Linked DNA regions of Neurospora crassa OR74A. The protein of the gene in region 5 interacts with the protein of the main gene of each other region in a pairwise test. Links are inferred from orthologs where the notes say so. Each region holds a gene or a part of one and is shown on either strand. Other genes may lie near its edges.

Region 1 (5,522 bases), on a different chromosome or scaffold from region 5:
TGAGGCTTCTGCTGCCGGCACCCAGAAGGGCGCGGATGCGCCTGCTGTGGATGAGTTGATCCAAAAGAACGCCGAGCTCCAGGCTCAGCTCGAGCAGCTGTCCAAGCAGTTCTCCAATTACCGCCTTGCCGTCCAGCAGACCCTCGATCAGCGCTGGCAGGCTGATGACGACGACAAGGATGCTGCCAAGGGCAAGGCCGCCGCCGCTGCTGCTGCTGCTGCGCCTTCAGGTCCGGCCCCCGAGGGTCCTGCCGCCAAGGAGGGTGCTTCCGACTACTACTTCGAGTCATACGCGCACAACGACATCCACGAGACCATGCTCAAGGACACGGTCCGCACCGAAGCCTACCGCGACTTCATCTACCAGAACAAGGACCTCTTCGCCGGCAAGGTCGTCCTCGACATTGGCTGCGGCACGGGTATCCTGTCCATGTTCTGCGCCAAGGCGGGTGCGAAGCAGGTTATCGCCGTCGACCGCTCGGAAATCATCGACAAGGCGCGCGAGAACATTTACGCCAACGGGCTTTCGGACGTGATTGTTACCCTCAAGGGCCGCATCGAGGAGGTGATCCTCCCCGTCGAGAAGGTCGACATCATTGTGTCCGAGTGGATGGGCTACTGCTTGCTGTACGAGGCCATGCTCAACAGCGTTTTGTGGGCGCGCGACAAGTACCTGGCTCCCCAAGGTCTGCTCGTCCCCAGCCACGGCAACATGTGGATCGCGCCCGTGTCGGAACAGGAGTACATTGCCGAGTACGTTGACTTCTGGCGCGACGTGTACGGCTTCGACATGAAGGTGATGCAGAAGGGCATCTACGAGGATTGCCGGATGGAGGTTCGTCCCGCCGAGACCGTGTGCGGCACCCCGGCCTCGTTCGGGTTGTTGGATTTCCACACCGTCAAGGTCGAGGACCTCGTGTTCACGGCTAAGTGGCAGAGCGCCTTCGACGACAAGGCCGAGAGCCACGACGGCTTCCTCGTCTGGTGGGACGTTTTCTTTGCGCGCAACCGCGTCGACGAGTCCATCAAGCTGGACACCAAGGCGCAGGAGTGGGTGGCTGAGACGGCCGGCAAGGGCGGCGATAAGGACGCCCGGGTGGCGTTTACTACCGGACCGTTTGGTGAGCCTACCCATTGGCGACAGGGCCTGATGCTGTTGGACAAGAACAAGGTCAAGGAGACGAAGCCGGCTCCTGGCAAGAAGATTGCAGGCGAGATTGAGTATATCACCGCCGAGAATCACGAGCGCGGATTGAACTTGAGGGTTACTTGGGCTGCCGAGGGTGAGAAGGAGCAGACTCAGACTTGGCTGTTGCACTAGTGGGATAACGTTGAGTGGCGTCTGGCGCTGTGAGCTAAAAAGGTCTGGAAGGGTTGTCTTTACATGGATGGGTTAGATTTCTTGTACGATCTTAAACATTGGGAAGCTCTGTATAGCCGTTACATAAGATAGAGTCACTTATGGTGTCTATAGGCAAATCTGTTAGAATGCAGTAGCACAATTCTGCGTTGCTGGATGTCTCGAATATCTGAGGCCGCTATAGTGAGATACATGTGTATATCGATCGTTATTTGACTCGTGAAGTCCAATAACAAGGACACTTAGCGAAGAATGATATCTAACGAGAAGCAGCCCATACACGTGCTCATTATGGCTTCAGAAAGCCAAAACCAAGACAAACCCAGCCTTCGTGCTCATATTTTTTCTTCCCATGGTATCTAACAATTGCCCCCAAAAAGAAATTCGACTTTCGAACATACGTTCGTGTTGTTCCCTGCATCATTTACTTCCCCCAGGACCTTGCGTCTCTGAATTCGAAGGCCCAGCCCCTCCATCCTTCGGCTTATACTTGGGCATTTTCTCATACGCATTTGGGCTCGGCCTCCTTTCCGTCTTCTTTCCTTTATTGCCGTGTTTCCTCCCACGTCCATGGTCGTGGTTACAACCACCCTCCCGGCCATCATGGTCATGATCATGGGAATGCCGGTGGCCCCTGCCACTACTACCACCGCCGGATGTGATTCGTTTATCTTGGTCAGGTTCTGGGTCCGAGTCGGAATCGGAGGAGGATGAAGAGTCGGAGGAAGAAGAAGAATCGTCACTGGACTCGTCTACGCCTTTTGGTCGGTGGTAGATGCAGCAGACTGTTTTGTTCATGGCACGCCGGTGGTGTTAGCATATGTATTTGTCAGAGTGTGTATGTATGCGCGCAAGGTAATTGAAGAGTGGGGGGGCAGATGGAGAACCCAAATCAACTAACCTTTGGACTTCTTCCTGCCGAGACCTTCGTTGTCAACGACATCGCTACGCCATTGTACAGATCGCCCGTTCGAGTGTGCGCCGCGAAGTCGCAAGATGGCCGGAGAAGAGGTCTCGGTTTGGGTTCGGGTTGGGGCAGCGGTTTGGCTGGTGGACGGTTGCGCAGGCTGCGCTTGCCGTTGGGCGACGGAGGTCATTGTGTGATTGTATCAAAGTTTGCTGTTGTGTTTTTGGGACGTATGTGTTTGAACGGGTGGTTGTATGTATGCGGTAGGTAGTCGTAGAGGTAGTCGGGTCCGGGAGAAGATGAGGTTTTGGGAGCGCTTCTTTTCTTCTTCTTCTTTTTTTTTCTTTTCTTCTCTACAAAGGCGCGGTTTCAAGGGTGGTGTGGTCTGTTCGAGAAAAGAGTTAGGTGATCGTCGTTTGAAGGCCGTCCGGTCATGCGACAAAAATTGCGGTCTGACGGAGTCTGGGGAAGTTTGTGTGATCGCCGCTGCTGACGAGGAGCGTGCCTGGCAGGAACTGGAATTTTCATGCGACTCTTGTCGCGGGGTTCCAGGCTGTTCTGTTATCTCGATCTGAAAGCTAGCTCTCGGCCTGTCTGTCTCCCTTGACCCGTCGCGCAATGGGTATTGGTCGGCAGGTTGCAGTACCTTCTAGACTTGAATACCGTAGGCCGAAGACGAACGAACTTGAAGGTGTGTTGGGTGTAGTACGTAGTATACCTAGAGGTAGGTGTGGTGCATTCAGTGTGGGACACGTTACTTAACACGCCTCGGTGTAGTGTGGGTCGATGGCCGTTAGAGCAACCTTTGATGACGGAAGAATCGCAGCCGCTGAAGGTTTTCGGTTTTGGCGCTATGTACGCAGTACTCTTCCCGTTTCCCCCACGTCCCCGCTTCCCTTCGTCATTCCACCTTCCACATTCCTCTGCCAAAATAAAAGCCCAAGAGTCAATGCAGGGCACCCAATCAAAAGGTGGGGCGAAGATCGCCTGCGGGAAGGAAGTCGAATTGACAAGGGTCCCCTGATAGGTCGAGCGCAAGCGTCCGCACTGTTCTCCCTCACAACCCTGAAGGCAGATCATTCAAGTTGCTTCAACCCTGAACCAAAGTTCCAACAACACCCCTGATTTGAGCCTCATTGTATGATCGGGAAGGGACCGCTGCAAACAAACAAAATAGTTTGTTGGGTGTCCATATGTCCATGGCATATGCTTTAACTACATGTGCGTGATGGGCCTTTGAAGTTTTTCGTTGGTCTTCGGGCAATTGCGTCCGCTTCCACTTACATGTCAAAGGCTGAGGATGGGAGGTTTGGATGTTGACTGACGACTGAGGCCGTACCAAAGGGTAGCACATATTCTTTAGTGTCCTTTTTATATCCATCAAGGCTTGCTCAGTTAGTCCTCAGCTCCGCGGTGCGTTTTCTCATTCACGCGGCTAGGCTTGCGTGCCATAGCAACTCAACAATAGAGAGCGGTGCCGGTCCAGCCCACTGCAGCCTATAGTCAAGCTTGCGAACCCTTCTCACCTTGAATGCCACTTGGATGTTCGTGTTCAGCAGCTGGTATGGCAGCACAATGGAATGATCTTATGTCCGTGATCCTTGAGCTTAGGTTGTGAACCTCTTTGGACGTTGTGCTGCCTCAGAACTAGACCACCACCAAACACCCCGCCTCTCCCGCGTCACACAACGGGAGTTTCGATGCTTGCCAAACACCACTGGTCCTCATTGCCGTCCTTTTGCTGTTGGCAAAGCTTCCGGCAGTCGGCCCACGCGTAGAACACTCCCAGCTTCCACCGGGATCCTGCTTTTGCCTGCCCTTAACTGAGCTGCCCTTCACTGCGTGGACTGCCTTTCTCTGCCCTTTCCTGCTCTTTCTTTCCGTCCATGGACCTTTACGATCCCCAGCGGCCTTCCCGACCAACGAATCTCTGTATATCCCAGGTCCCTTCTGCACCCACCCACCTTGCATCCCCGCCCCCGGCTTGGGACCAGGACCCTTTCCCATAGAATCCATCTTACTTTATCTACAACAACGCCCGACCTCTCGGCCTTTCTTCCTTCCTCTGTCTGTTTCCCCTCCACACCGCCTGGCGCGACCGCATTCTCTGATCATAATATTCGACATACCCGTGCCTGGTCATCCAGCCTAAAAACCCGCAGGAACGACACTCTTTCGTGGCCTCGTGACAGTCTGGCTGGCTCCTGTAACGTCAAGGTTAGCCTAAGCGAACATCATCGTGGTACCGCAGTACAACTGCCTGCCCCCCCCCCCCCCCCCCCAAGACAGCAAACAATTCGAGACAGAATGACCATCGCTCTTTCCCTCTATCTTTCCTAGCGGGGAAGCATAATCTGAGAGCGAACTCAACAGGCTGGGAAGTCACCTGTCACAAAGATCTGCCAGACCACAAGGCGACTGGACTCACTCCACCCTCAGCTGGCAATCACCCATTGCCCACACCTTCCAGTTGCAATTCTGGTTGCGCACTGCAGTCTCCATTCCCTTCTGACGGAGACAATACACTCATACGGTCCGTCTCTTCGCCACACCACCGCAACTAGTACACTCCGGTTTACTGCGCTGTACCAATTGGTCAGGGCAATCACCTCTACTGTGACCTATCCACCCCAAGGTAGGGCGGGGACTGAGGTGCCAGAATCAACAACAGAAAGAGCAATCAATCATTGCGCCTTGTCGCCTTCCTAATTGATCATGGCGGCACTCAAGAACGCTCCCGCGCCAGCGGTCACGGTGCGCTCTTCAAAGGCCCTGGGCCTCAAGACTTGTAACCCAATTCCTCCCAGCTTGCCTTCTCCCAAGGACGCTGCCGAAGCAGCATCGCCAACTTCACCGACCCTCTCCCACACAGCTTCTGACGACAGTACCATCGCCGATATGCCTCCCGGCGGCAGACCAAGACATAATCCCCCGAAGCGGGAGGCTGACTTCAGCACTCTATTGTCACCCCAGGAAAAGAACGACTTAACTTCACTCATTACCAGAACCACCGATGTTATGCAGAAGCACTTTTCCCATGTTTACGACTCAGCCGGTCTGGTCGATGACGCTCCCTCGGTTCGTAACAAGTTCTGGAGCGGACTTCCCGCTCACTTGCGTGATTTCAGCATCACCAAGCCTCTCCCTGCGGAGACGCAGCTCCTGAACCCCAAGAAGCGCACTAAGGGTAAGACCTCAAGGAGCCAAAAGGAAAATGGAAACATGGCTCGAGACACCAAAAACAGCTCGGGTGCT
Region 2 (5,785 bases), on a different chromosome or scaffold from region 5:
GGGTCTCTCCAAGAGCATTGGCGTCTCCAACTTCCAGGCCCAGCTCCTGTACGACCTCCTGCGCTACGCCAAGGTCCGCCCCGCCACTCTCCAGATCGAGCACCACCCCTACCTCGTCCAGCAGAACCTCCTCAACCTTGCCAAGGCTGAGGGCATCGCCGTGACCGCCTACTCCTCCTTCGGCCCTGCTTCTTTCCGCGAGTTCAACATGGAGCACGCCCAGAAGCTCCAGCCTCTCCTCGAGGACCCCACCATCAAGGCTATTGGTGACAAGTACAACAAGGATCCTGCCCAGGTCCTCCTCCGTTGGGCCACCCAGCGCGGCCTGGCCATCATCCCCAAGTCTAGCCGCGAGGCCACCATGAAGTCCAACCTCAACTCTCTTGATTTCGATCTCTCCGAGGAGGACATCAAGACCATCTCTGGTTTCGACCGCGGCATCCGCTTCAACCAGCCCACCAACGTAAGTTTGATACTTCCTTTTGCCATTCTCTCATCGGCACCCCAAACTTGGCGTCAGAATATATATATATATATGTCATGGTATAAAAGGTATAGACTAACATGGCAAACTCACAGTACTTCTCCGCTGAGAACCTCTGGATTTTCGGTTAGGTCAACCTTTTTCCGCAGCTTAGGGGAAAAGTTGGCTTTCGCGCCCCCCATTCCAAAACCTTTTGATTTTACCCCTTGAATGTGTATTATACCCACAACGCATTTTGTATACGCGGGCGCGTGATTGGTATGGTCGCCTAGATCGCTACGACCTCTCACGGCCCGCACACACAATGCACACCACACGCTCATGGAAACATCAACATAACCATACCCCGACCATCAGAGACACCGCGAAGAGAGAAGGCTGGTCACCGTACCCTAACGACGGGATGTGTACATATAATGGGGCATACTGTCGTTATCTGCTGAGGCCCGGGGAAGGGCTGTTGGCAGATCAACTCTCCCGGCTCTAGGCCATTTCCTGTTTGCTTGATAACCTGTCAGCTATGAAATAGATGGGGTAGAATGCGATAGAAATCAAGATTTGACAAATCTTTCTGTTTCGAAATTCTTTTTCGTCGATCCCTGCTCGTGACATGAGCTGACTCTGTATTGTTTGTGGTGATTGTCGAAGTCGTCTATATGAATCTGATCATCATCGTACAAAAGCAGTCAATACTAGCCACTAGCCACTCCATGTATCAACCTCGACACAAAGGCGCACGCGACCGTCCTTTCTTGGATGGCCCGGTGGTTTGGACTAAGTTGTTCGTTGGTCCTTTTGTCGGTGAAGTCGGATGAAAATAGTATGGATGCAATTATGAGGGTGAGAATGCAAAGCAAAGGGCAACGGGTCTAGACGAGAGTAGTAACGAAGTCTACTGGGAATACATCAAGTTGTCGATTGTCTTGCTTCAACAACCCATCTAACGCCGTAGTACCATGAACGCCAGTGCCATGCTGCATGAACTTTGACTACACAATCATTATGCTTTGCAAACCGCCAAAATCGCCATTCATATACATCATACGCGGACGAAAGCTGCGTGATTTGGGAATTAGCAAATCTTCTGGAGTTTCCATAAGTAATGCCTGTTGAAACTTACTAGCATCAATCTGCTGCACCTGCGGCAGCGCCAACCGGACCTTGTTCCTATACAATGCCGGCGCTCTGAGCTGTAACGGGTTCCCCTCAAAATACACCGTCGTCAGGTTCTTCTTGTCCTTCAGTTCTCGCTCCACCTCGGCGAAGTCGCCGACCATGTTATAGCTCGCCCACAACTCCTCCAACTCCTCGAGGGGACCGATGCCCTTCAGGCTGGCGATCTTGTTGTTGGAAATGTCCAACACCCGCAGCTTGGTGTTGTTCTCCAACCCTTCGAGCGATTCGAGCGCGTTGTGCGAAATGTACAGTTCCTCAAGCTGGGGTACCTCGCGCAAGGGGGACAGGTCGCGAATCCGATTGGACTGGATGCTGAGCAGACGCAGCTTAGGAAGGCCGCCAAGGCCGGTGAGTTCGGTGATCTTGTTCTTGGCCACCCATAGCTCTTCGAGGTTCTTGAGCGAGTCGAGGTTCTGCAATTCGCGAATGCGATTCGACCCAAGCTCGAGGTTGCGCAGCTTGTCGAGTCCTTCTAACCCTTCGATGCGGCTGATTTTGTTGGAAACAAAGAAGAGATCTGTCAGGTTGGTCAGGTGATTGATGTGCTTGATGTGCTTTATCTTGTTGAAGCTTAGATCCAGACTGGTCAGATTCGTGAGGTCAGTCAGCCCGCGGCCGATGTGCGAAATCAGGTTGTCATAAAGATCAAGATCTTGGAGGGTCTCGGCGACAGCGGCGAGGCCTTCGATATCTTGGATCAGGTTTTGGCGAAGGCAAATGCGGGCAACTTGTTTGAAGCGCTCAAGACGCAATGCTGAGATGGACTGAATGCGGGAGTGGGTGCAAATGATCTCATCGGTATCGAGGGGCTCGTTGTCGAGGAGATCTGTAAACCAAACGAGCCGGACATGGTTAGCCAGAGGTTCGTTACCACCGAGTCATTTTCACTATCGTTTAGACATGTAAAAGGCCTAGTGTCCGTGTTTGAGCGCACTCGAATTGCTTGCCTTCATCCGCTGCAACCTCCTCGCCAGGAACAACGTTGTCATCGTCCGAGTATTCCGGATCCGACAAGGCTTCGGGATTTGTGAGCACAGCACTCTTTGGTACCCGCAGCTTCCCGTCCCAGCCTTTGCTATCTCTGAGAGCGGGGCTTCCTGCTTCGCCCTCGTGTCGTGGTGAAGGATGGTCGTCGACCAGCTCAATATGGTGGCCGGGCGACTGGCGACCCGGTGTGTTGCTGCCTTCTTCAATGGGAGCCGGCATGGTTGTGGTAGTATTTGGGCGGGTAGGTAGTTGGTGCCTGCTCTCGAGCGTTGCGCAAAGTCGCGGAATGGTCGTGGTCGTGCTGAAAAGCGTCCAAAGGTAAAAAAAAAAAAAAGAAACAGGAAAAAGAAAAAGAAAAAAGAGTACCGACGAGCACAGGGATCGATACTATCGCAATACTCAAGGCAGTGTTGATCAGTTAATGGCGCAGTCGGAAGCGGTGGCGCGCTGGTAATCAGTGGTTGGTAGTATTTATTGGACAAATACAGTGACTTATCATTTATGTGATGAGAAGGAGAATCTCCCGACTTTTTTTTTTTATCACTTCCTGATTATCAAACGAATGGAAGTCGCATCTACAGAAAATGAGGGGTCGCTTAGGTTGGTTCTCCAGTCTTCAGTTGGAATATCGTCATGGTCATGGACCAATTCCAACCACCCGCTGGGATGTCCCGTCATGCGCTAGTCCCCTTGGTTGGTCCCCTGAGGCGGACAAATGCGGGGATCACATCAGTGGGTGCACCGTGCAACGCCAGGGCCTGCCTTGTTGGGGGGCAGACTGGAAAGGGTTGGTCGTACAGGGGTCCTGTTAGACTCTTAACGGAAAGGGCATCAGGGCATCCCGAGGCCGTCTACCAACACCCGCATCACCATCGATCAAGACCCGACCGACCTCAACCGACGTTTACCATCCTCGATATCGACGGCGCTCACTGTCATTGCCGCTTCGATTTCATGTCTATGGATCATATCGGTCAATCTTCAAAAGAGATTCTCCAATACTGAGCCCGATCATCTCGAAGAGTGAAGGCTTCAAAAAGCCTCGGAAGGCCTGGAACCGCTCTTTCGAACAAATTACATTCTTTGCTGCCTCACCGGTTCATACAGTACATTATCGAGGCATTTTGGGTGAATCACAGAGCGCCAACCTCGGATTGTCTGGAACTTGTTCCACTGGAACTCCTGTCGACTCGAGTGCGCCACCCAACCTGGCCAGCAATCTCCGATTCGAAAGGAAGTTGTGGAGGTGTATGTGCAGAACACCTTGCAGGAGACTGAAGAGTAATCAACAAGTGGCAGCTGAACACGAGATTATGCAATGGAAACGAGCTGCGGAAAATCCTGCAGTTTGCTCGGGTGAGACAAGTGCCATTGTCTCATAAGTTTCCCCCAATGGTTTCTCGCTGTCTCGTGTCCGCCTCAAGGGCCCGGTTGGAACAACTTCGTGCAATCTCTTCACTTTCGAGCTGTCGTCACGGTAGTACCTACATCAGAGGTTCACGATATGGGGTCACTGCCGCGAGGTCTCTGATCGTTCCCCTGACATTCAAGCCGAGCACATTTTCCGTCGTTAGTGGCAGCGGCCGCACTGCGAAATGCATTCACATCCCGGCGGTGCTGATGCCGCCAGTCGTGTTCGTGGGGCTTCTGGTTGCTTTATACGTGTGGAAGTGCATGATGCTAGTTGTGTTCCAGAACAAGATCATATATATGCCTGGATTCCCTCCCAACTCACGATGGGAGCTCATCGACAACTACGCTAACCACTGCGGTGGAATTAAGTGGACGAATGAAAGGATTCAAGCGGCGGACGGGACAGACCTGGCAATGGCCGTTACAACCGTCCCGATGCAAAAGGGAAAGTTCCCTACAGATAAGAAGGATGCGAGGGCCCATGTATATGTTCTCTACTTTCAAGGTTTGGTTCCTCATATCAACGTGTCGTTCCGGGACTCGCAGCTGATATGGGCACCTAGGAAACGCCGCTTCGATACCGCCACGATTGCCGGATCTGTCATGGGTGCTTCGAAACGTCAGTAACAGCCACAACCCGGACCTGGCACCTCTACAGATGACTTTTGTTTGCCTAAGTTACAGAGGTTATTGGACATCCCGGGGCCGGCCCTCGGAAGCTGGTCTCAGGCGAGATGCTGAAGCCGGTGCACGCTGGATTTCCGAATACCATAAACAACTGTACGGACCAGACAGGGATGCTCCTCTACCCATTCTTCTGCTCTGGGGACAAAGCATCGGTTGCGGTGTGGCCACCAACCTTGCTGCGACAGGCAAGATTCCACAGAATTTGTCAGTCCGAGGCTTGCTCCTCGAGACCCCGTTCTTGTCGGTCAGGACCATGTTGGAGACGCTCTACCCTCAAAAGTGGCTTCCATACAAACACCTTTGGCCGTTCTTACGCAATCATTTGGATAGTTGGACAAACATGGAAACCATTGCCCAGGCCGCGAGGGAAAAGGGAAGTCCGCCGCCAAGTATGTACATCCTTGAGGCCGAAAGAGACGAGTTAGTTCCCCCAGAACATGCCGAGCGTCTGCTCGAAAAATGCCAGGACCTAGGCTTGCCGGTTGAACGGGTCAAGTCTCCGGCGGCGTTTCACAGCGATGCCATCATGAGAGTCGAAGGCAAGAGACTAGCTGCCCTTGGCATTGTGCGACTGACCCAGAAAACATTAGATGTCGGCTGAGACTGCAGACATCAACCGCGTAGCGGCAGACATCCAAACACCGGTCTGGCGGACATGGACCGCACAATTGCTCGTCCATAGCTGCGGAGCTGGCTATGGACAAGTGTGGTAACGGCGGGGCCAGATGGGAGAGAGTGAGCACTGCGAGGGAAGAAGGCAAACGCAGACGCCGGCCGTTTTCACTGGGAGGTGCCGTGCAGGCGAAGCAACTTGGGACCAATGTCGTCCTTTGCATCACATTACGGAGGCGCAGAGACTCTGATGCTGGCGTGGTACAAAGCTATTGCGTACCCTAGGACATGGCGGGGTTATCGCAATAGGAATTGAGGCTCTCATCTCGGGGCTTTCGAATGGGCGAGATCTTTTGACGACTTGGACTGTCCAGCGAGAGAGATGCGTATTGGGCTTCCCGTGTGGAAACATGTGCTTAAACAAGT
Region 3 (5,510 bases), about 1.2 Mb from region 5:
TCCCCCTTGTAGATTTTCGTCAACCCGTCCCAGGCGTTCTTGTACTGATGCTGCGTGCCGACCGGCAAAAAGGGGCTGTAGCTCTGCAACCTCGTCTTGGCCAAAAAGAAGGGCGACCCCGCCATGGCGCCCATGATGCCACTCGCCGCGCCGGCAAACATGTTGATGCCCAGGTTTTGCGTCTTTGCGTCGTTAAAGAGCGTGGTCGCAAGCGCGTGTCGCATCGGCTCGTAGAACCCCAGGCGGCATCCGTTCAGGAGGATCTGGTAAATGTACGCGCACCCGATACCGCGGTAGATGCCGCCCAGTCCTTCGTTGCGCACGATCACGGAGACACCGTGGATCGGACCCCGGTAGAAGTGAGGGGAGGAGGTAGAGGATTGGAGCTCGCCTTGGAGCTGCATGCGGATCTTGACGGTCTCGAAGGGGTGCGTGGCGGTTACGGCGCCGCAGGCTGCGATGCCGCCGGCTATAAAGGCGCTGTGAGGGAGGGAGGGATGTTAGTCTGGGCTTGGGACCGGGAGGGGGGGGTTTGGGTTGGGTTGGGTTGCGCGCGCGCACTGGGCGCATTGTGAGGAGGGGAAAGGGAGAGCTTACCCTGCTGTTGTTGACATAGTGACGTTAGGGTATCTGTTTTGGGAGAATGTATGGGGAAGAAGGGTGAGGGAGGGGAAAATATCAGGGAGAACTCAAGTCGAGTCCCCAGAGTCTTTGGGTTGATTGCGACGGAGTTGGCGCGCAAAGTCAAAGAAAGGCGCAATGCCGAGTCTTGCCGGTGTTCGGAGAGAGAGAGGGGGGAACACGGGAACTAATTCGGGAGTAGGCCGGGGAAGGCGGGAGTGGATGTCACCGTATCACGGAGAGTAACGACGGCAATGAGGGGATGATCTGGGGAAAGATCAGATCGGTGTATGTACAGGTGTACAACTGAACGAAGTCACAACGAACGACGACGACTGCTTCTTTCTCCAGGAACAGGAAGGAAAGAGAAGACCACCGAGAGCTGTCCGGGAAATTTATTGGAGCTTCAAGGTGGCCTCGCCGGTCAGTCGCCGGGCAGACAAGGGGGTCGAAGTGATCGACTGGGACCAACTCCCGCTTTGGGTCAGGCACGGAAGTTGGTGTCAAGATCCTCCTCCGATGCCGTGGATGGGGGTGGTGCCCAATGGCGACGAGGCGAAGGAGTTGTAAGTGCTGCGGTTTCGGCGCGCGGACAACAGATTAATGTGGAGTTTCTGCGGTATGACAAGGGGGCGTGGCGGGTCGGGCGGCCCAGACGTGGACCCTGAATCAGAACCGGAAATGTCTGGGCCGGGGAACGCTGTCGTTGCTGCGAGGGAGGGTTAGGGCCTAGGCGCGATGGACGGCAACAAGTGTCCGAATCGGAGCTTGATGACAATTTCGAAAAAGACGAAGGTACCGAAAGCTTGGAAGACAGTCATACTGGGACCTCAATTGAGCATCCTACCGTAGTGTGTAACGATTGCCATTTTAGCTTCGTGAACATACACTAGCACCGTTGTCAATTGACTGCTCGGTTTGCGGCCAAATCACCAACGTATCCCAGCGTTGATGGAGTTTGTCCAGCTGTCACTGACATCGATACCTACTTACCCAACTGGTGTCGTTGTCCATGCAGTGACCATGGATCGAAACAAGGGTTAGGGTCTTGGGCCACTGCCAAGCCATTGTATGTACCTTGACGTCGCATTACTGAAGCTCTGTCTCTCCGCCCGGCAGAAACACCAACGCGGTTGACGGATGCTACTAAGTTTTGAACCAAACATCAAATAACTACCATCAATCCGATACTATACAATTTGACCCAATATATTTGCCCCGCCATCTTCTCTGGTTCTAGCCGGTTTCAATACGATCAATCGACCGCAATGTCATCGACACCGATGGACATCGACGAACCCGGCGCGGGAACACCCTCCCTGAACGTTACTCGGTTACTTGGGCCTAATGGGCCCAGTACCTCCAAGATCAGTGAGGTGATCAAGAATTTTAGGCCGACAAAGTTCTTCCAGAGAGACGACGTGAAGGAGGGTAGGCCCCAGCCATACGTTCTATCGATCGACTTTGACGACCCTGGCGAGCTTTGCATGACGTCTGAAAGCGACGAGACCATCCAGATATATAACGTTAGGGAAGGTCGGCATGACAAGAGCTTGCTGAGCAAAAAGTACGGCGTCAAGCATGCGAAGTTTACACATTCCAGCTCGGGCATCATCTATGCGAGCACGAAGCAAAACGGTATGTCACTGGACGCCCTTTCTCCCTTCAATGACTGCTCTTCGCTGACCTGGATCGCCACAGACGCAATCCGCTATCTGGCAACCCACGACAATACGTTTATCCGATATTTCGAAGGCCACGAGGCCTCCGTTACCAACATTGCTCTCCATCCCGGCTCCGATAACTTTCTTTCATGCAGTCTTGACACCACAGTCAGGCTCTGGGACCTCAACAGCAGGAACTGGGTTGCCAAATTCCATCTCACCAATCCCACTTTAGCGGCCTGGGACCCTGCTGGTCTCGTTTTTGCCATCGCCCTACCAGCCAGCGCCAGCATTCTCCTTTACGATTACCGCAACTACGTGAAACCGTTCAAGATCATCGACGTTTTGAAAGAGAAGGGGCCAGCTGATGCGGATGCCGTCTTCAGAGGCTGGACGAAACTCGAGTTCTCCAACGACGGGAAGCATATTCTTCTAGGAACACGGACCGGAGGACACTTCCTCTTTGACGCCATTGACGGGAACCTGAAGGCGTACTTGCGAAAGCCCCAAGGCGGCACCAGACGGCCAGCCCCTGGCGAGGCTGATGGTGGAAGCGGTGCGCTAGAGAGCAGTGGAGACTGTTGCTTTACGCCAGATGGACGATATGTCGTGTCGGGCGCGGCCAAGGACCTGTTGGTTTGGGACACATTGCAAACTCCCAATAACAAGGTTCTGGAACCGAATTTCCTTCCCCAGGAAGGAAAGAAGGAACCAGTCCTTGTGCAGTACAACCCAAGATTCAACATGATTGCCACTGCGGATAAGGAGCTTATGTTTTGGCTGCCGGTCTCCGATTTATAAACGGAGTCTATCGGAAACTGTTGGACCTCACCTCCATGGTCAACCCCACGGAATATGTGGGACCGGGCTTTGCCGGTTCAGCGCAAACGTCCGCTTGAGAAATATGAATTGGCGACGTTTATCTGGGCCGAAGTCGATGATCAAGAGTTCTAAAATAACTTTTCATTATTTCTGGACACCGATCGCTTCGTGGTTGTGGGGGCGTTGTCCCCATTGTGGCGCCGGGATACTTGGAGAGTTCCCCAAAAGCCGCACGCACGAGGAAGGGGGTTGTGGCTCAAACTGCACAGGACCCATGCCGCGATGTACGAAGGTCTTGGATGGTATCCTGTTGCTACATCAGGGCAGAGCAGAAGAGCGTCGTGGTAAGAGAACATGAGAGACGCCGGGAACAAAAGAAGATTTTGATGCACTGTACATGAGATACCCATTTTGCATTATTCGCCGGCGTATGGGAGTAGTTAGCATGCTTCAAAGGGTTCAGGTCGCGAGGCAAGTGGTCTGGAAGGCTGATTTAACCAGGCTCGTAGGAGGAGATGGAAAGGAATGGTCAAGATGAACAGCATGTAATGGTTGATCAAGTTGATTTTCACTGAGGGGATGATAGGCATTAGCAAATAGAGGAAGCTCAATATTGTTTACTGTCCATAAAGAATCTGACCATCAGGTAGTCTTGATGAAGGTTGAGTTCAATACCACCCTGAATCCCATATGTCAGGCCTTGGACGACGGGAGCTTAAAGTAAACACATCCCCTGTTGCCCCCTGTCATTAGAGGTATGCCCCGCATTTGAGCTGGATGGGACCGCGGTGAACCCCACCAATGCAACACCCGTTTCAGCGTGCAAGCAGAGAGCTCACCGAAACCGTGGCACCAAAACTTCCCGGGGAAGCGACAAGGTGAACCCACATCATCCTTACCTCCAACATATCACGTCGCCTTGACGCCTTCGCATTTATCCCAAGTCACCAACCGCCGCTGCGCGCCACATTCCCAAACCGCCAGCCGACACCAATTATCACAAAATAACCATTCGGGTACCGAATATCCTAATCAGTGCACGAAGAGTACAAACGAAGCGATCACTACTTCGACGGAACAATCCAGTCGCACGGCACGCGACCACTGTCCCATCACACGTCGTCGTCTAGAGCACAATTCGGCGATAATAAGATGCCATACTACGAAAAGTCAGAGGACTGGCTTCACCAGTCTGCTTTGCTGTTGCAGGCTAGGCCTCAGACTGTATGTGTTTCCTCCCTTCATTCTCTCCGCCCTCCAATCATTACAGCGTAGTAGCTATGAGCTATCTATCTAAACTTCTCGCCCATGCTAACATGCAAATCCAACAATCAGACCCGAGTAACAACCTCGTACTCCCTCCGCCCCGCCATCCGCCCTTCTAAAGCCGAGAAGCTCGCGGCAAAGGAAGCTCGTCGCGCCAAAGAGAAAAAAGAAACCAGCAGCAGCAGCAGCAGCAGCAAAAAGACAACAGAAGGAGAAGAACCCCCCAAGGATGCGGCGGCAGCGGCGGCGGCGGCAAAACCACCCCGAGGCCATCTGGTCCTCAAGACCTTTGACCCGCACTCGGGCGTATGCCTGAAATACAAGACGTCCAAAGCCGCCGAGGTGGGTCGGTTGATTCAGATGCTGGGACAATTGGGGAGGAGGATGGCTGCGCTGCCTGTGGACGAGGCCAAGGAGTCGGCAGACGTGGTGATGGCTGATGCGGCTGCTGCTGCTGCTGCTGCGGCGGAGGAGGGTGCTGCGGCGGCGGCGGTTAGTGGGACTGCTACGCCTGTTGCGGGTGCGAGTACGCCTGCGCCTGCGGCAGGAGGCGGTGGACAGGGAAAGAAGAAGAAGAAGGGGAAGAGGTGAATTTTGAGAGGGCGCTGTGTATAAGTGAGAAGGGGACGAACGCGCGGATCGGGGGGCTGAGCAGGAAAAATGCCATGATAATAAAGGGTGGGTAGAACCAAGTGAATGAAGCAAGCGTTTAACATTTTTTTGTGGAAACATTTGTGTCAAGTGAAGTCTACCTTGGTTGCGCATCGGCGAACGGGTCACGTCAGGCGTCATGGTCACTACAAGTTCACGCCGATACGAATTCGCTGATGTCTATAATTCAATTGCCATGTCGTGTGGAGAGACCGAACTCTGCCCATACATGTAGAAGCTACTGCCTAGGAAGCTTCTTTTCTTTTTGTTTATCAATAATCGACCATCTTCTCATTCAAGTTACAGCCCAGTTGTATGTACAAGATAGCTTGATCAAATCAGCCATGATCTTGAGTCCCAATAAACGCCTCTAACTCCGCCCATGTGCTTGATGATAGGAAAAAGGAAAACATTGAACTCGCTCGCCTTTTTTTGAGGTGAGTTGCTGATGGCAGCAAAGATTTTTCTATCCAACACAGAAAAACA
Region 4 (6,075 bases), on a different chromosome or scaffold from region 5:
CGGTGTTTCAGTCTGTAAAAGTAAAACGCGAAAGCAAGTACACTAGTACTTCTGGGAACTGCTCATCATGGTTGCAAAGATACCCAGCCAATGCCTTTTTTTTTTGCTTTCCCATTACCAAGCCCTTGTCATAGTTAGCAGTCATTCAGTCATGAATAAACACCGGATTACAGATGAACTCTTGATGTCACAGTGCCGATGAAACATTGTTCCTGCACGTTCATCCAGCAGCTTCCTTTTTGCCACTTGGGGAGAGTTGCCCGCTACTTTAACGTGTATCTCCCTGTTTACATTCCACGCCCATTGTTCGCTCCTTTTCAAGCGATCGCTCTTACTCTATACGCACACAATCATTGTTCGTTTTCCTAGCTAGCAAGTGGAACACTACTCACAAAGCAACTTGCGTCGATCGCTGCGATGAGAATTCAAACCCGTTCAGCCGCCAAGAGGCTCAAAGTAAACACCGAGGAACACATCGTGGTTGCGAACCCCCTCCAGAATCCGATCCTTGTTCCAGATCATGTATCTGAGACTATTGTAGCTTCGGTTGAGGCTGAATCCTGGACGAGAGGGAAACGGAAGCGGGGACATGCCACGCCGGCGCATCCTCTCAAAGGTTCGCTCACTTCTTTGCTCTCGATTTCAGCCTGCTAATTAGTTGAGTACATAGGTGGTCGGGATGTCTTGCCTCCTAGCATGGGCGTTCTGCCAACCCCTGGTACAATTCCAGAGACACCAGATTCGCTGAGCAGTTCTTCCAATGCGCCGGTGCATTTAACGCGAAGTGTGGCCAAACGCCAGAGTCAAACTTCGCTCGAAACTACAAAGATTCGGACCGAGGATGTGAAGGCGCAGAAGACGCCGATCAGTATAGGGCCCCTACAAGTGACTAGACCTGATGATATCTCGGTACATCATACCCGAGGTGTGACCGAACGCCGGACCAAGGTTCAGTCCGCCATCATCAAGGATCGGACGAAAGATGCAGCTGCGACAGAAGCTGTAGAGAACATCATGGGCACTTCTCTGGATAACACTATTGAGGTGAACACCCCCAACGACGACGACGACGACGACGACGACGACGACGACGACGACAAAGACGAGGAACACACTGAACGGGATCGACGGGGTACCAGGTCGTCTTCCAAGAGGCCAAATACAGAAACCGACAAAAACCTCGATAGCGGCAATGGACATATTATTGTCAAGACCAGCAAGAAGGCAGCCAAGGTCACCGCCACAAGAATAGCCACCGTGGACCGTGACAGCCCTGACTACAGAATGCCAGTGAGAAGGGGCCCAAATAATCCCATGGGGTTCACGCCAGGGTTCTCACCCTACCCCAATCGTCAGGCTCCTACCTCTGAAGCATGCGAGGATGTGTACCGCGTCTTGGCAACCATGCATGGCAAGGTAGAGCAACCCAAGGAAATACCCAAGGCATCTTTGGAGAAGGCCGGATGTGGCGAGGTACCTTGCGTATTGGACGCCCTCCTCCGGACGCTGATTAGCGGCAACACACTGATGGCCATGGCGGACCGAGCGATCAGGAACGTAGCTCAAGAGTACGGTTTACGAGAACACGGCTCAGGCATCGGAAGCATCAACTGGGAAAAGGTTGCCAGCGAGCCAGAGGAAAAGCTGGCCCAGGCTATCAAGGTTTCGGGGAACGGAAACCAGAAGGCCAAGCATATCAAGCTAATCCTCGACATGGTTGCGTTGGAGATGGCGCAGATGGCAATGGAGAACAAGGGAACGGGCGGTAAGCGAGAAGTCGCCTTCTCAGAGACGTTGAACCTAGACCACATGCACACCGTCACCAAAGACGAGGCCATGGCCAAGCTTGTCCAGTATCCCGGTATTGGCATCAAAAGTGCTGCCTGCGTTACACTCTTTTGTCTTCGCATGCCCTGCTTTGCAGTTGACACGCATGTCCACCGGTTCTGTCGCTGGCTCGGTTGGGTGCCGGAGAAAGCGAATGCTGAGGACTGCTTCAGACACTGCGACGTGAAAGTGCCGGATCACCTCAAGTATGGCTTGCACCAGCTGTTTATCCGCCATGGACAACAATGCTTCAAGTGCCGGAAGGCGACAAGGCCTGGTACGAAGGAGTGGAGGGAGGCACCCGAATGCCCGTTGGAACACCTGCTGGACCGGGGGAAGGGAGGAGACCATGGAGATGGATAGACAGGGAACGCCGGAAAGAGTCGATTTGGAAGTAGTTGGTTTCTTTCCAAAAGCAATAATTTCCAGTCTGACTCTTTGGCCCGCCATAACTTGAGACCCTCTTGATACTGTTGTGACGGATGAAAGCTCCCTAGGCCTTTTGACCTCAATGTTCGAAGATTGGTGATTCATGGAAGAGATGGGGAGTTGGGCGAATCCGTACCATGATATACAAGTATGTAGGAGCTCTCCATCTGGCTACTGGCAACAGCTGCTGAGCAGCTGCCTGTTTCTGACCATCGGACCTGCCTGCCGCGCCCCTCTGCCCCCCCTGCAACTTTTAGCGGCCCCACGCACTTTAGGTCTGACGCGGTTCCTTCTGGATTGACGCGCAACAACAGAACCTAGGTTTCGTTACAGCGTCCATTCCTCTTCCTTTCCCAGGCACTGTGGACGCTGGCTCTGGCATGTCAGAGGAAGCTCCCGTCTGACAGCCGCACCGTCAACTCCAACATACAACAGGAGAACCTTCACCGATTGCTTGGTGAAAGAAGAACGGAGTCAGACTCCTTCACTGGCCTGGAACATAAAACCCCACGAGCGCGGATTTCTCTTCTGTCCTATTGGTATACAATTTTCCTCCAACCCTTTGTCTGTGGGTGCAAGCGATACCCGCACATCCATCGCCATCTCGGCCTTTGCCCTCCGACAAAGCATCACTGCTCGTCCTCGGTTGCCTGGAGCATCTTGCTTCAACTATTCTTGTCATTCTTTTGCCGCACAAGTTGTTCCTCTAGCATATCTGTCGCTCACCTCGAAAGCTTCTTGTCGATGCAAAGGCTTCTCTAAACCATTCCGTCTGCTTTGCGCTGAAGGTTGCTTCTTGCGACCATCGAAGCGCAACCCACTTCGCCCTCCAAGCTCCGTCAGCCTAGACAACCACCAGAAGCCATCACGTTCTTGAATCGACCGCCGAGATGTCAGACAAAATGGAATACCCAGAGCTGGGGACCGCGGACGTTCAGATGGCTATGATGGAGATGCATCAAGCCTTTGAAGAGTTTCCTCCAGACGCACATCCAATTTGCCCTTTGCTCAGCGACGATGACGATACGGACTACGCGTTGCCAGACCTCCCCGATGCGAACGGAACAACGGTGGCAGAAAAGCAAAAGCGAATCGCTGACGGGTTCGAGAGACGTAGAATTACCTACGGCCTTTCGCTTCTGTTGGTGATGCCAGAGGCTGGTAAATGGATCAACGAGTGGAAAGAGCGTGTCAACTTCTTTCTCACAAAATGTGACCAATGTGCCAGGACATGGCATAGGACACGCCAGCAATTCATCAGAGCCATTGATCAGTGCGTATTCGCAAAAACCTACTTGGTCCACCGTAGGCCTGGTGACCCCAGCTAATCCGATTTACAGATACACTTCCCGAGACAACGCCGAGCTCTTGCGGAATCTACAGAAAAACCTCGAAGCCTTCGATGAAGAGCGCATCACGCGCGGCCTCAAGAGAGCCAAATTCATCCTTGAGAGGGACGGTCCCATGCCGACTACGAAGCTCGTTAGAATCGAACTTTGGCCGTGTCTCGCCTTGTTCGAATCGCTCTGCTGCATGGCATACTTGAACACCAACAAAGCAAACCTAGAGATATTCAATTACGTATTCGAACATGTCCAGCCTAAGAAGCCGCTGAAGATGGTGGGAGGCGCAATTCCGACCATGACATACTTCCTTTTCGAAGAGTATCCGGTGCACAGGGCGTTTGCAGAGGCACAATGGCAACGGATGCTGCCGGAAAGCCTCACCGATGAGGAGTGGGAATGGGCTGTCAGAAGCGGCCTCAAGTCCCATATACTCGGCCATAGGGGGATACAGCCCCCGGCGCGGCTGTGTCGCTTTTGGAGCGGATTCCTCCTCATTTTGCGAGCTATGAGCGAAAAGAGTATTTTGGAAAACCTCCGCGGTATGGAAGTACAACCGAATGTCTACTTCCTTGCTCTCGAAAACCTCGGCACCAATAACGTCCCTGCTTTGAGCATGATACTGAAAGCACTTCGTACGCTAATGGAGCGTTCGTCAAAGGCTTTCTGGGACGCCTATGACCAAGTCACTCCGAGTATGATTGTGGAGGAAATCTTCAAGAGCCCGGCTTTTCGGCCCTTTTTAAACCAGTCTCTTGAGCCGGACATGATGGTCGAGGACCAGGAAAACAACGGTCAACTAATACCAGCGTTGGCAGAATGGGTCAGGGCCTTTATCCGTTCCCTTCCCTCAGCGCGGCGGTCAGACGTTTGCGAGACTCTTCTTCGGCATCTGTTCGAAACTCTCCGGGTCGACGCAGGCGCAGCCCCAGAAGCGAAGGCCACTTGCATCCTTGCTGGTCTGGTGACCTTGAGAGAATGCTTGGACGGCTACCTCAGCCTTCCATCCTTTGATACAGGAACGTCTCTTATTATGGTCAACCAGTTACTCAACAGAGTGATTCAGTACAAGGAAGTCATCATTGACGCGACCAGGCTCAAGGCCGCGGACAAGTACAACGTTGGCCTCTCACAGGCTGCTATAGCTATCATACAGTCTGCCCTGGCATTGGACGCGAAGGCGACGTTGATGGAGTGGGACGCTTTCGTTAAGGAAAAGCCTGTTCAAGATGCCGTAAACAGGGACTCTGGCGCATTGTGGGAGTCATTCCTCGAGCTCGTCTGGAACGGACAAACAGATCTCGCCAAGGCCATGTTGAGAGCTACGATGCCTCTCAGGAGTATCGAACGGTTTATCCCTAAGCGGAAAGACCAGCTCAAGAACGAGCATGCAAAATTCAACAGACGCTTTCAACAGCAAACGGCGGCAATTGGCAAAATGTTAGGCCGCCTGTCTGACTTCAACCCGGCTGATCTTGACAGTTTCTGCTCGGATCCGCAGAGTAACACCATCCAGCCCATCGTGGCGACTCTAATACACGGTGAGGAAGCCATTCGCGAAGCTGGCTTCGAGTTGATCAAAGCCATCACAGGTGAGATGACGCCATCTGAGGCCGTGAATAAGATGCTTGAGGAGTACTTCAGCCAGTTCCTGGAGGCCTTCACTGGCGCCGTAAACCATATCACCAACGCCAAAGACTCCAATAATCCGTGGAGTCACATGCAACACTTGTTGAAATGCTGTGAATTCGTGCTCAATAGCTTAAGTGATCCGTCTGTAGGTCAACTCAGACGCAAGACCCTGACCCCTGCGGAACATGCTATCGTCAAGGGATGGTGGGATTGCGAATGGAGAGCCGTCGGCCACTCGTTCGGATCCATGAGACTCTGGCACGTGAAGGTGGACAAGAAAGTCATGGAGGACTTTTGTCGTGATGTGATGGAACTTGCAGAGAAGCTCCTCGCCCAAGACGGTCTCATGGCTTCGGCACTTAGCAGTCCTCAAAGCATCTCGGCGACAAACGGTGACGACGGCTCAGAGGGCATGAAGTTGGTCCTGGAGCCGCCGAGAATACACTCGCTTCCCTTAGTGGACATGTTGCAACTCCGCGATAAATATCTTATCGCCGGTATTATCGAAATCACCAAGAAGTTGATCAAGCGTCTGCAAGACAACGGCATGGATCTTCCGCCAAAAACAGTCGCCTATCTCAACAATATGCTGAAGAAGAGGAAGATGACTGATGGGCGAACGGACTACCCCATAAAGACGAATCTCACCAACGAGCAACGGATCGAGCTACTCAAGGCGCTCGGGGACGATGCTGCCATCGAAGCGCAGTTCGTTGGTGGAAAGCCTGTGAAGCAGGAGGTCAAGCCGGTTATGAAACAGGCAAAGCTTGATTTCTCAAAGGCATCACTCAAAGACCACATTGCCTCGCTTACGCCTGCCTTTGAGAAGGCCACTGAGAGGCGG
Region 5 (5,870 bases):
TCAACCCCCAGCCCCCGACTTAAGACTCCAGGCCCCTTCTCTGTCATCCCTCTCCGTCCGGCTTTTCCACATACTTGACAAATAGGGCTACGATACCCCCTCTCATTGTTCGTCCCACTCATCGTATCTTCAACGTAATATACGCATTGCTAGACGACTCACTTGACTTCGAGAACCACCCTCTATCCCGCTCGATCGTAATGTATAATTACACTGGTAAACATACAGGAATTCCAAACACAACACGACGACAACCTGTATCTCAGTATCACTCTTGCCTCTCAGTCACCGTATGCCACCGCCAGTTCACGTTTTCACGATGAGCCTGATTGATCAACCCATCGGTCAATGCCCCGCGCACTCCCTACCGCCGGCACGCTTGCCTCCTCTTTCTCGAATACAGCATGGTGTTCGCCTCATAATCACCCAGTAGCAACCGTCCCCCTCCCTTTCCCCCAAGAACAAGAAAAACTCGAGCCTGCCAAGACGTTCTGCCATCTTCATGTTCATAACCTAGGACGCCATATCGTACTTCTTCTCTTTGTCCTGTCCTGCCCAACGCCTCTCTCCTGCTTTTCTATCCATCCAGCGTGGCAGAATCGGGCCTGAGCGCAGAAAACCACCGCCTTTCATCCCATCTGCTTCTTCTCTGGTATCACCAAGGCGCTCCGTCTCATCCGTTTGCAATGTTCGTAGCTTTACCTCTGCGATGGTGCCCTGGCCATTTTGGTAACTACAAGAGCCTAGGTCGTGAGAGTCGTAGGAAGGTAAGGCGGAAGTGTCGTTTGACCAGGCCGAAAAGCTGGTAAATTAAAGCGGAGATATGTTGTGATGCTGCTGCAACGTGTATACCTTTCGAAACTGAGCCGTAAATGTAAAATAGCGGAGTGGCGAAACACAGCATGCCGTAGTCAGAAAGTGCTGGAGCGGATGTAAACGAACAAATTTTCAATACACTCTCCCATGACGGAATGACATATGCCTTTGGCGAAAAGCGACACAAAACAACTAGTTTCCCCCCAAGACACACACTGCTTATCTATACCTTTCCTAGCAGGAGTAGTGACCAGACAAGAAAAAGAAAAGGTCGTTCGTTATTCATCCCCCGAGATATAAAAAGATTCCCTTTCCTTCCTACCCTCTCGAGTTGTGTGGAGACCGGACGGATGGAGAGACAGGACGGGCAGACGTGGCTTTCGTTTCGTTGGCACGGCAGGAGGGGCGAGGACCTCCCCAAAAGAAGTGGTCGGAACAGACGGCAGACGGGATGATGGCTGGGAGCCCTGGCGATCAGGAAACATGGCGGCGGTAGACAAGCTGACGGTAAGATACTCATGTTCGTTGCGGGCGGGCGAAAGTATCAGACGTTTATCGGCGGCCGAACCTAAAGGAAAACGGGTGTGTTCGTAAGAAAATTCTTTACTTGTGCTTCTTGGGGGTCTTGAATTGCTTCATCTGAGACTGGGAACGTACTTCTGTTTCTTCTCTGCGGGCTTGAGAATCTGCAAAGGGGGTTAGCAAGAGTGCAAGGGTCTCGGAGCTTGCCAAAGTCAGAAAAACATACCTGGAAAGAGCAGAGCAAACTTTCGTCGACGCTCATCATAGCACCAGCGTTGTCGAACTCGCCGCAGTAGTTGGGGGCACTAAACAAAGTAACGAGCTGGCGCTTCGAGAAGAACTCATATCCGTCCTCAACAACCTGGTGAGCACGGCAGATCAAATCCATGTCGTGTTTTTGGAGGAAGCGAGAAACGACATCCGGGCCGAATGTGAAGGAAACACCACGATCGTTTTCGCTCCAACCAGTAATGTCCTTATCGGGATCCGACCACAGGAGATCGCAAAGAAGACCGCAGTCAGGAATCTGGCGCTATTGTTAGTGTCTCATGTTACGGCAACTAGCCTGAGCAAACGGAAAGCCCGGGCATGAATGGTGTAACGTACGTCAGTTGGTCGCATGACTCGGCGGATCTGCTCCATTGAGTTCAGATCCGGGCTCAAACCACCGTGCATAGTGAAAATCTTCTCGTCGATAATGGCAGCGATCGGTAGGCAGTTGAAGCAGTCGGTGAAGGTCTTCCAAAGCTTGATGTTGTACCTCCGCTTGCACTCGTCGTAGAAACCATAGATACGGTTGATGGACGCGCACTCGTGGTTGCCACGAAGGATGAAGAAGTTCTCGGGGTACTTGATCTTGTAGGCGAGGAGCAGGCAGATGGTCTCCAGGGACTGCTTGCCACGATCGACGTAGTCACCTAGGAAGAGGTAGTTGGCCTCAGGAGGGAAGCCACCGTACTCGAAGAGGCGGAGGAGATCATAGTATTGACCGTGGATATCGCCGCAAATCTAGGGAGGTGGGGCACGACGTCAGCTATGAACACTGCCGAAGGGGCAGTATGGCGCATGCCGAGGCTATGTAAAGGGATAATAGAAAGAACACAATGCTTACCTTGATAGGAGCCTCGAGCTCAAGCAGGATGGGCTGGGAAATGAAGATTTCACGGGCCTTGGTGCAGAGATAGCGAATCTCGGCTTCCAGCAGCTGCACCTGCTTACCAGGCCGGCTGCCCCGCACCTCCAAGAGGCGGTCGATTATAGAGTCGAGGTCGACTTCGGTATGGTCCGCCATTGCAAAATCCTCACCAACCGGAGAGATACCGCGCACAGGTTTTCGAAGTCACGGTAACGACCGACAAACCCCAGCTAGTCGGATGGGACGGGTCTAAAAGAGCGGCACGCGTAAGGAGTAGGAAACTGGGGTAGATGCACTTCTGCAAAGCTAAACGACTAATTCAAGACGTTAGACATTGCCAATGACGACGCAGATTCTGATTGGGGTTTGCCGCACGCGATCGCGATGGCGGGAAAATGAAGGAGGAGCGACGGCTGGGCAGAGACTGGGAAGCCGCAATGTAACGGCAGTTGATCAACTTACGCTCAGAAGCGATCCCAGCAAGAAGCGATTGTTGGGGGTTTTTTTTTTTTTGGAGAGGCGAACGCGTTCTCCTTGGGAATACAGCAAGCGGTGATTTTTTTGGTGTTTTTTTTTTCTGGAAATAGGTATTCTTTCGGATACCGAATGTTGTGCTTTGGTTTTAGTAAATCGTCACTGGGTTTGGCGGAGGTGCGAACGGTCTAGAGCAAGCGCAAGCAAATCTCGTCGGAATTGCGAAGAAATCGGTCCGGTAGTACGCGGCGACAAGAGGGTTAGCAATGATGGAAAAAGGAGACGGCTCCAGAAGTCTCTGATCGTCCTTTGTGAGGTAACGTGTTTTTTTTTTTTTGTCGCGCGGACGGGGCTGGGGCAAAACGCCGTGTCGTCGTCGAAAATCTGGGTTCGAAAAGGTCGGGTGTAGAAGGGGAGTTCAAGTAGTCCTGAGACTGCGGGAGAGGCTGTCACTGCCACTGCCAAAACCACGGTCGGGAAAAACTGGTCGATGGACTGCCCGGGAGAGTGCAAAGTGCTGCAGCGAGGTGCAGTACAGAGCGCTGGGCCGGTCGGAGGGTCGCTGGAAAAAGCTGCGTCTAATTGAGCGACGGAGGCCAGAAGACGAGATACCGCGAGATGATGCCTATGATAATAGGACTTCTATCGCCAGGGTGGGGTTGAAAATGCGCGTTCTTTGTGGTTAAAGACGTCGCCCTGTTTTGGTTGGGATAGAAAGCGTCGGGAGAAAAAAATCAACGTCGGTGGTGGTTGCTTAGAGACTTTTGGGAGGAGACGGACAAGCGCAGACGCTTCCACTTGGGCTGCCCGCTGCTGGGGGGGGGGGGTCCGGCCGGGCGATGGGCTAGGTAGAGGTAGGTAGGTAGAGAAGACTGGCGACTGGACTGGACGGGGACGCAGAGAAGGGATTGGGCTACTGGGCCGATGGAGCAGCAAGATTTACACGCACGCAACGCAGCTAATGAAACGCACAGGGCTTCCAGACTACCTACTAGCAGTGGAGAGCAGTAGGTAGAGGTAGGCAGGCAGGTCCAGGTCCAGGTCCGCGTTCTTTCAAGCCCAGGTCAGGTCACCTCGGTGCCTGCCAGTCAGGTTATCGTTACAACAACCACAACAGGCGTCCGGTCGGGTCGGGTTTCGGTGCAGTTGTGATCTTTTCCGCCGACTGGGCTCTCATCCACATCGATGGAATGAACAGGACAGCACTCAGTGACATGGAACGAAAAAAACTCGAAACATCCGACGCGATGGCAGGCCAGAACAACCCTCAACTTAAACTCAAACATACCTACCTACGGCTGAAATAACCCAAACAAGGACAGGCTCAGATTGGGTGAGCTAGGTTAGGTAGTTGGTACCTAGGTTGCCAGCCAGGTAGGTAGGTACCTACCTAGGTTTCGCGCCCGCTCTGAATCTCCGTCAGATCCTGGCCGAGCCCTTGTGCCCTTTCCAGTTGCAGTGAAGCGGCCCTTCCAACTTGGCTCGAGAAAAATTGCATGCACTCGCCTCTGGGGAAGCAGGTATGATGATAGGTCGGTCCATGTTGCTCACTAACGCGACTGGGTAGGAGCTGCGCTGCCTTCCCCCGCAACTGCGAGCACTTCTGTTAGCAAGAGTCCCGAACACCGGACCCTCCTTGGCAGGTCTAGGCCTGGGATTGGCTCGCCTAAAAGCCGCTTGCGATCCCGTTGGTGGGTGTCGCCTGGAACTTCCATCTCTCCCAACCCTCCAACTTCCCCCTCCCTGTGTAGAGATAGTGGACTGTGAGTGTGACACCTTACCTGGTATGTACACGGCAATAGCAAAGACGGGAATGCCTTCTTGGTCGCCTTGTTGTTACTTTGCATTGGTATTCCGGCTTTGTCCTCTTTGCTCGTTTCCCCCCACCATCAGCATCAGGTTCCGCAAACGCAATGATAGGCAGGGCAGCCTGGCTACATGGCCTACACCTAGATCAGGCACAAGCACCCGGTATGCATGATTACAACAGCTCGAAGCGAAGGAGTATAAAGACAGGTCGACAGGCAACGGATATCCAGTCAACAACGAGCAAAATATTCGAGCGACTCAGCCGCCGACGTGTATCCGCAAGATCAGTGAGACTGGGAGCTCGACAGCAAATGCGCAAAGCCTCAGTCAGGCTGTCGAGAATCTTGGGCATCTTGGAGATCCAGGTAGTCCTCTGCGGTCATAGGTGATGCTTAGCTGCATATCAAAACCTGAGATTCTGGTAACTCAAGAATGCCAGTTTCCGTCAAAAAAGGAAGCCCTTTGGCAAAATTACCGGGTTGCTAGAATCCGGTACCTTGTCCATGCAGACAGAGTAGTGTCAACATGACTGACTTTCTTTGAACCACCATCGCCACACCACCAAGGAGAAAGAAATTCTGATAGGTCCAAGTCGGCTAAGATCTTGGACTTGTCTGCGATATGATGAGAAGAGACTCGACCATCACAACAACATCAGAGTATGGAAACTCCGACCTTTTATCCCTTGAAGTGGTGGTTGGTCGCTTTGGGCTATCGCCATGACGAGACATAGCAATATATCACACACACGAAACCAACAACTAGGCGCCCACTATGTCTGAACCCATATCTTTGGTAACTTTCGGTTTACACCTATCTCGGGGCCAACGGCGCCTGAACTAAGACCTGGACCCGCGGGACCTCAGAATAAATGTTTCAGCAATGTGTCGAGGTCTCCCTTGTCACTTTCACCTCATTGCCGTTCTCCTCGACTTTCCGGGTCACAACTCCGTTTCGTCAGATGGGACGGCTCCTGATTTGCTCGGACAGGTCTCCCTTCAGAACAACGATCCTCACGATCCTTGCTATGTCTGGGCATTCGTTCAGCCCCGAGTCTTTTAAAAACCGAACGCCTTTCAACGGCTGGCTTCCCGAAGTCTTCCAACCGCAGCTC

The links.
Region 1: the proteins of pph-3 (region 5) and NCU01670 interact in a two-hybrid assay, tested with the Saccharomyces cerevisiae proteins (2 studies listed by BioGRID). The link is inferred for Neurospora crassa OR74A from reciprocal best matches to the Saccharomyces cerevisiae genes GLC7 and YPI1.
Region 2: the proteins of pph-3 (region 5) and NCU08385 interact in binary tests that used the Saccharomyces cerevisiae proteins (3 or more experiments, as listed by UniProt). The link is inferred for Neurospora crassa OR74A from reciprocal best matches to the Saccharomyces cerevisiae genes GLC7 and SDS22.
Region 3: the proteins of pph-3 (region 5) and NCU07885 interact in binary tests that used the Saccharomyces cerevisiae proteins (3 or more experiments, as listed by UniProt). The link is inferred for Neurospora crassa OR74A from reciprocal best matches to the Saccharomyces cerevisiae genes GLC7 and SWD2.
Region 4: the proteins of pph-3 (region 5) and NCU02036 interact in binary tests that used the Saccharomyces cerevisiae proteins (3 or more experiments, as listed by UniProt). The link is inferred for Neurospora crassa OR74A from reciprocal best matches to the Saccharomyces cerevisiae genes GLC7 and SEN1.

The regions. Positions count from the first base shown.
Region 1 is NC_026502.1:2,748,222-2,753,743, reverse strand, and holds NCU01670 (type 1 phosphatase regulator ypi-1), read right to left. Parts: upstream 3,130-5,522; 5' UTR 2,458-3,129; coding exon 2,262-2,457; intron 2,146-2,261; coding exon 1,781-2,145; 3' UTR 1,395-1,780; downstream 1-1,394. Other genes in the region: prm-3 (S-adenosylmethionine-dependent methyltransferase superfamily domain-containing protein), read left to right, coding at 1-1,321; NCU01672 (DUF726 domain-containing protein), read left to right, coding at 4,983-5,522.
Region 2 is NC_026501.1:5,513,924-5,519,708, reverse strand, and holds NCU08385 (protein phosphatase PP1 regulatory subunit sds22), read right to left. Parts: upstream 3,136-5,785; 5' UTR 2,867-3,135; coding exon 2,608-2,866; intron 2,487-2,607; coding exon 1,605-2,486; intron 1,541-1,604; coding exon 1,524-1,540; 3' UTR 1,061-1,523; downstream 1-1,060. Other genes in the region: xr (xylose reductase), read left to right, coding at 1-463, 580-615; NCU08386 (hypothetical protein), read left to right, coding at 4,243-4,281, 4,343-4,679, 4,747-5,348. UniProt on the Saccharomyces cerevisiae protein: Regulator of the mitotic function of yeast type 1 protein phosphatase.
Region 3 is NC_026503.1:1,232,079-1,237,588, forward strand, and holds NCU07885 (WD repeat containing protein 82), read left to right. Parts: upstream 1-1,762; 5' UTR 1,763-1,889; coding exon 1,890-2,259; intron 2,260-2,322; coding exon 2,323-3,086; 3' UTR 3,087-3,732; downstream 3,733-5,510. Other genes in the region: NCU07884 (mitochondrial oxaloacetate transporter), read right to left, coding at 1-480, 598-614; NCU07886 (hypothetical protein), read left to right, coding at 4,260-4,331, 4,443-4,964. UniProt on the Saccharomyces cerevisiae protein: The COMPASS (Set1C) complex specifically mono-, di- and trimethylates histone H3 to form H3K4me1/2/3, which subsequently plays a role in telomere length maintenance and transcription elongation regulation. Involved in mediating RNA polymerase II termination.
Region 4 is NC_026501.1:1,604,222-1,610,296, reverse strand, and holds the start of NCU02036 (tRNA-splicing endonuclease), read left to right. Parts: upstream 1-2,600; 5' UTR 2,601-3,146; coding exon 3,147-3,529; intron 3,530-3,596; coding exon 3,597-6,075. Other genes in the region: NCU02035 (helix-hairpin-helix domain-containing protein), read left to right, coding at 418-616, 671-2,190. UniProt on the Saccharomyces cerevisiae protein: ATP-dependent 5'->3' DNA/RNA helicase required for the expression and maturation of diverse classes of non-protein-coding RNAs like precursor tRNAs, rRNAs and small nuclear (snRNA) and nucleolar (snoRNA) RNAs.
Region 5 is NC_026503.1:2,383,589-2,389,458, forward strand, and holds pph-3 (serine/threonine-protein phosphatase PP1), read right to left. Parts: upstream 3,899-5,870; 5' UTR 2,936-3,898; intron 2,788-2,935; 5' UTR 2,630-2,787; coding exon 2,450-2,629; intron 2,347-2,449; coding exon 1,945-2,346; intron 1,865-1,944; coding exon 1,565-1,864; intron 1,503-1,564; coding exon 1,474-1,502; intron 1,385-1,473; coding exon 1,369-1,384; 3' UTR 191-1,368; downstream 1-190.